Arabidopsis thaliana: one gene and its partner. Each later gene encodes a partner of the first gene's protein in a complex. Links are inferred from orthologs where the notes say so. Each region holds a gene or a part of one and is shown in the gene's direction. Other genes may lie near its edges.

Evidence for each region. Proteins that work in one complex are often made in the same cells at the same time.
Region 2: the proteins of ATPC1 (region 1) and atpE are in contact, whole or in part, in a cryo-EM structure (PDB 6FKF), measured with the Spinacia oleracea proteins. The link is inferred for Arabidopsis thaliana from one-to-one orthologs. Residues at the interface, in NP_001413255.1 of Spinacia oleracea: Asn81, Gly82, Pro84, Phe85, Thr88, Leu89, Glu91, Val92, Arg178, Pro186, Thr187, Ala188, Lys189, Gln192, Asp196, Asp197, Phe199, Ser200, Leu201, Val203, Ser204, Glu205, Glu206, Ser279, Ile281, Leu282, Glu283, Phe284, Glu285, Gln286; in NP_054942.1 of Spinacia oleracea: Leu8, Thr9, Pro10, Asn11, Thr26, Asn27, Ser28, Ile31, Pro39, Thr40, Ala41, Thr42, Ala43, Gly64, Gly65, Phe66, Arg68, Ile69, Thr75, Leu77, Val78, Asn79, Asp80, Glu82, Lys109, Arg110, Ile113, Glu114, Leu117, Arg121.

The regions. Positions count from the first base shown.
Region 1 is NC_003075.7:2,349,958-2,353,837, reverse strand, and holds ATPC1 (ATPase, F1 complex, gamma subunit protein), read left to right. Parts: upstream 1-1,819; 5' UTR 1,820-1,955; coding exon 1,956-3,077; 3' UTR 3,078-3,340; downstream 3,341-3,880. UniProt on the Arabidopsis thaliana protein: Produces ATP from ADP in the presence of a proton gradient across the membrane. The gamma chain is believed to be important in regulating ATPase activity and the flow of protons through the CF(0) complex.
Region 2 is NC_000932.1:51,751-54,635, reverse strand, and holds atpE (ATP synthase CF1 epsilon subunit), read left to right. Parts: upstream 1-1,972; coding exon 1,973-2,371; downstream 2,372-2,885. Other genes in the region: atpB (ATP synthase CF1 beta subunit), read left to right, coding at 480-1,976. UniProt on the Arabidopsis thaliana protein: Produces ATP from ADP in the presence of a proton gradient across the membrane.

The DNA.
Region 1 (3,880 bases):
GGTTAGGCACGGTTTTGATTCATTTCATAATCGACTTGACACAAATTGCGTGGATGGTGCCGATTTTGTGACCTAAATACTAACATCAAATTTTGTGACCTAAAAGAAGTCTTATATATTTTGAAAGTTGCATTATCATCATTCCATTTCAAAGAAATAAAAAAGAAAGAAAATAAAATAATCAAACCCTTAAAAGAACTTACTCATTTCTTGCATATTACATATGAGTAGCAATTTGTATTGCCTTTCCACTAAGGATCTACCTCTTTTAGGCAACTGAAAATGTTGAATTTGATGGATCATAATCTTCATTGTACTTAGGGTGGTCAACTCATTTTAAAGTCAGTTCTGGTGTGATGTGTAATCTTTGTTTGGTTGGGCTTTTATAACTCGAGCAACGAGTTCATATTAATACGGTGCAGATTTTACATAGATTGTTACTATAACCCTAAATCCAATAAGGTGTATGACTCAACATGTTCAGCATCCTTAATGTTCTATTATTTGAAATGGTGGACGAGTATGCAATAATTGACGGAAAGAATAATGAGCTTTACTTCATGTAAGCATCAAAGATTCATAGGTCGATTTGATCCTTAAGAGATGAATAGAATGTCACTAGATTGTTGGTGATTAATAAAGATGATATTAGTTTGTACAAATCCATGAGAAACTGAGCGTACGTAATAATATGTTTGGTGATGAAAATAAAACAAAACAAATAAAACTAAGAACTTGTTTATAGCAAGAGGTTGGGAATTTTTGTGGTTTCTGTGTGATTTCGGTATGTTCTTGTAACAATAAGCATATTCCAAAATATGTATCCGGATGTAGTTGAAGATACAATAATATATAATTTTAACCAAAAAGAAAACTACAATTTTCATGATAAAATTAATATTTTATTGATTTTAATATATAAACATCTTATAATTAATTTAATGAATAAAATTTTATAAATTTTTATATCTATAATTTAGTTAATTCTTATTATATGTTTATTATTTCGTTCTAATTTCTAACCAAATATTAGTTTTTAATATTTGTTTTGATCTGTAGAATTATTTTATCGGAATTTTTGGAATAAATCGAAGCAATTAACAAATGAAACCATTGTTGTTAGTTGTTACACTATATGATTTTTTCGTTATAACCAAATATTTGTTTTTCTCTATAAAGTTTTGCTTATCAAAAAAATTTTGGAGAAAATTGAAGCAATTAACAAATTAAACCAGATTAAAAAATATATATATATACATATATATATATATCATTTTAAGTCTCTTGTAAGGTAATTTGATTGGTATATATATATACTAATGGACCAAAACCATACCAAAGAAATTAAACCAAACCTAATTACTCTAATTTCTATCCTTTGTCAGATATTTTCTCTCGTTGGGGTCAAAAACTCATAAAATAAAAAAGCAATTAACAAATCAAACCAGATTACAAATTATATATATATATATATATATATATATATATATATCATTTTAAGTCTATTGTAAGGTAATTTGATTGGTATATATATATACTAATGGACCAAAACCATACCAAAGAAATTAAACCAAACCTAATTACTCTAATTTCTATCCTTTGTCAGATATTTTCTCTCTTTGGGGTCAAAACTCATAAAATAAAAAAGCAATTATTGGTTGGCTGATAAACAATTACAAAGAAGTAAGATATATACCACACACCCCAAAAAAAAAAAACATTGAAGATATCGAACCATCCACTAATACAACGCCACGTCAACAAAAAGAGGATCCCACAATTTGCAGACTCCAAATAGCAAATGTAAAACCTTATCTCCAAACCTAATCTCATCACCTTCTCTTCCCTCCACTCAAATCTCTCCTCTCTTCTTTCTTCTTCTTCAATACAATACAATCAAAAGAACAGAGAGATAAGGTTAGAGCAAAACACTGTCTGAAACAAACAACAAAAAAATGGCTTGCTCTAATCTAACAACAATGTGGGTTTCATCAAAACCATCTCTTTCTGCTGATTCATCTTCCTTATCATTCCGATCTGTTCTCAAGTGCCCAACTAACACTTCCTCACCTCCTTCACGAGCTTCCTCTGTTTCACCACTCCAAGCGTCTCTTCGTGAGCTCAGAGACCGTATCGATTCAGTCAAAAACACTCAAAAGATCACCGAAGCTATGAAGCTTGTCGCTGCAGCTAAAGTCAGGAGAGCTCAAGAAGCTGTTGTCAATGGACGACCATTCTCAGAAACCCTAGTTGAAGTTCTTTACAACATCAACGAACAGCTTCAAACCGATGATGTCGATGTTCCCTTAACCAAAGTCAGACCGGTTAAGAAAGTAGCTCTCGTTGTCGTCACCGGTGATCGTGGATTATGTGGTGGATTCAACAATTTCATCATTAAGAAAGCAGAGGCAAGAATCAAAGAGCTTAAAGGTCTAGGTCTTGAATACACAGTCATTAGCGTGGGCAAGAAGGGAAATTCTTATTTCCTCCGTCGCCCGTACATCCCCGTCGACAAATACCTAGAAGCCGGAACTTTACCTACGGCTAAAGAAGCTCAAGCTGTGGCTGATGATGTCTTCTCTCTGTTTATAAGTGAAGAAGTCGACAAAGTCGAGCTCTTGTACACAAAGTTTGTCTCTTTGGTCAAATCAGAACCCGTGATCCACACGCTACTGCCTTTATCACCTAAAGGAGAGATCTGTGACATTAATGGAACCTGTGTGGATGCTGCGGAAGATGAGTTTTTCAGGTTAACGACAAAAGAAGGGAAATTGACAGTTGAAAGAGAGACTTTTAGGACACCAACAGCTGATTTCTCGCCGATCTTGCAATTCGAGCAAGACCCTGTTCAGATTCTTGATGCTTTGTTGCCTCTGTATCTTAACAGTCAGATTCTTAGGGCATTACAGGAGTCATTGGCTAGTGAGCTTGCAGCTAGAATGAGTGCAATGAGTAGTGCTTCGGATAATGCATCGGATCTCAAGAAATCGCTTTCGATGGTGTATAATAGAAAGCGTCAAGCTAAGATTACTGGAGAGATTCTTGAGATTGTTGCTGGAGCTAATGCACAGGTTTGATTTGTTTTGAACCCTCTTTGAATCTTCTATATGAGTCCAAAACTCTCTTCTTCTTCTTTTTTTTTCGTTATCGTTTGTATAATGTATAATTGATAATCTCTAGAACTCTTTATAATCATGCAATTACAAACAAAAACGCGGTTGTATCTATTTTGGCTTTTCATTGGATAAAATGATGGAGATCTTCGTTGAATATTTGTGGATGATGAAGAGTTTTTGTAGGATCCTTTGGAGGAATAAGATTTTGGTTTCTTTGGTTGTTAGTTGTGAATCCTTTTCCATTGTTGTTATGACTAAGGATCTTAGTTAGGGACAACATTGAATCCTTTTGTTCACCCCATCTTTCAAGATTTCATAAGACTTTTTTGAATACCTCTGACTGGATTTGGTAGTCTTTAAATGTACATCGGAAGATACAAGTCTCGAGTCGTGACTAACCAACACAGCTGCTCCTTTGAACCAACTTAGTGAATTCCCCAAGGCAGTTATAGTTGGCTTGTCCAAGTGATTAGTTGGCTCGTCAACAAAGCAAAATGTGTGGGTTGGACATTGAGATGGAGGCTAACACAACCTTAGCCTTTTGTCCTTCAAACAATCGTGAAAATGAAGTGTAATGGTGTTGACTTGGGAGACCAAACCTGATCAGTTTCAAACGCACCGCATCAAGTTTAATATATTTCCTTTGGTCTTGGGTGAGGAGGATAAAGATCTAGGAAGAATATATCCAAGTGGGCTTCTCCACAAAAGAGTACCTTCCGATCCTCAGGTTCTGGCTTATTCTCACTTCACCCACAGTAACTAAA
Region 2 (2,885 bases), on another chromosome or scaffold:
ATATGTAAATCCTAGATATGACAATATGCGGAATTCATCCATGAAAATGAAAAACAAGGGGGGGTTGCTAAAGGGATGAATAAATGGGACGCATAACCGGATATGCTAAAATGAAAATACGAAAAAAAAGGCTAATGAGATCGAAATAATGAATCATAACTAAAGTTCCGTTTCGAATTCGCTAGATAAAACAAAGGCTTGCCTATTCCTATTATGATAAAAAAATAAAAGACTTTCCGCAAAAAATTTTTTTATTCATATATTTTTTATTTTAAAACTAGGTTTCAGTTAGTTGAGCTTGAAAATGACTATTCCTTCATTGAATGAATAAAAAATTGAATTCCACATCCGCTTGGGTGGGACCAACGAAATCGAGTGCTTACTCCCACTTTTTATTGAATTAACCGATTAATTTGCTATCGAAGATTTTTTCTGTATTCGAAAAAATTCGTAACAAAATTTAACATATTTTTTTTATTATGAGAACAAATCCTACTACTTCAAATCCAGAGGTTTCGATACGTGAAAAAAAAAACCTGGGACGTATCGCCCAAATCATTGGTCCGGTACTGGATGTAGCCTTCCCCCCGGGCAAAATGCCTAATATTTACAATGCTCTGGTGGTTAAGGGTCGAGATACTCTTGGTCAAGAAATTAATGTGACTTGTGAAGTACAGCAATTATTAGGAAATAATCGAGTTAGAGCTGTAGCTATGAGTGCGACAGAGGGTTTAAAGAGAGGAATGGACGTGGTTGATATGGGAAATCCTCTAAGTGTTCCAGTCGGCGGAGCGACTCTAGGACGAATTTTCAACGTGCTTGGGGAACCCGTTGATAATTTAGGTCCTGTCGATACTCGCACAACATCTCCTATCCATAAATCCGCGCCTGCTTTTATAGAATTAGATACAAAATTATCGATTTTTGAAACAGGAATTAAAGTAGTAGATCTTTTGGCCCCTTATCGTCGTGGGGGAAAAATTGGACTATTCGGTGGGGCTGGCGTGGGTAAAACAGTACTAATTATGGAATTGATCAACAACATTGCTAAAGCTCATGGTGGTGTATCCGTATTTGGTGGAGTAGGCGAACGGACTCGTGAAGGAAATGATCTTTACATGGAAATGAAAGAATCTGGAGTCATTAATGAACAAAATCTTGCGGAATCCAAAGTGGCCCTAGTTTATGGTCAGATGAATGAACCGCCAGGAGCTCGTATGAGAGTTGGTCTGACTGCCTTAACTATGGCAGAATATTTCCGAGATGTTAATGAGCAAGACGTACTTCTATTTATCGACAATATCTTCCGTTTCGTACAAGCAGGATCCGAGGTATCCGCCTTATTGGGTAGAATGCCTTCTGCTGTGGGTTATCAACCCACCCTTAGTACCGAAATGGGTACTTTACAAGAAAGAATTACTTCTACGAAAAAGGGGTCCATAACCTCTATTCAAGCAGTTTATGTACCTGCAGATGATTTGACTGACCCCGCACCTGCCACCACATTTGCACATTTAGATGCGACTACCGTACTATCAAGAGGATTAGCTGCCAAAGGTATCTATCCAGCGGTAGATCCTTTAGATTCAACGTCAACTATGCTACAACCTCGAATCGTTGGCGAGGAACATTATGAAACTGCGCAACAAGTAAAACAAACTTTACAACGTTACAAGGAGCTTCAGGACATTATAGCTATCCTGGGGTTGGATGAATTATCCGAAGAGGATCGCTTAACCGTAGCAAGAGCACGAAAAATTGAGCGTTTCTTATCACAACCCTTTTTCGTAGCAGAAGTATTTACAGGTTCTCCGGGAAAATATGTTGGTCTAGCGGAAACAATTAGAGGGTTTAATTTGATCCTTTCCGGAGAATTTGATTCTCTTCCCGAACAGGCCTTTTACTTAGTGGGTAACATCGATGAAGCTACTGCGAAGGCTACGAACTTAGAAATGGAGAGTAAATTGAAGAAATGACCTTAAATCTTTGTGTACTGACTCCGAATCGAATTGTTTGGGATTCAGAAGTAAAAGAAATCATTTTATCTACTAATAGTGGACAAATTGGTGTATTAGCAAACCACGCGCCGATTGCCACAGCTGTTGATATAGGTATTTTGAAAATACGCCTTGCTAACCAATGGTTAACGATGGCTCTGATGGGCGGTTTTGCTAGAATAGGCAATAATGAAATCACTATTTTAGTAAATGATGCAGAGAAGAATAGTGACATTGATCCACAAGAAGCTCAGCAAACTCTTGAAATAGCAGAAGCTAACTTGAGAAAAGCTGAAGGTAAGAGACAGACAATTGAGGCTAATCTAGCTCTCAGACGAGCTCGGACACGAGTCGAGGCTCTCAATACGATTTGATTTTGTAACTAGCTGACGTGTAAAAAAAAAGAATGTATAAAAAAAATAGGATCGAAAGACGATAAAAACAATAAAATAAAAAAAGCTGGTTACAAAAACTTATTAGACACCATTGATCATGGTGTCTAATAAGTTATACCTACTATTGGATTTGAACCAATGACTCCTGCCGTATGAAAGCAATACTCTAACCACTGAGTTAAGTAGGTTATTTATCATTGTAAAGAGAAGGAAAGGGGATACCTATCACATCGATAGGATTATAAATCCAATATTATTTCTAAGCAATACCAATAAACAATGAGATCAAAGAGATATAATGTTCGATCATGTAATATTAATCTTGACAAGAAATTATCTACATGATAAGATAAAATGTGTATCACAAACACAAGGGCTATAGCTCAGTTAGGTAGAGCACCTCGTTTACACGTGCGCCAAAGTTTTTCAGAGGAGTCCATCACGCAATCAAACTAATTGATTGATCTTATTAAGAAATCGATGTCTTACTCCA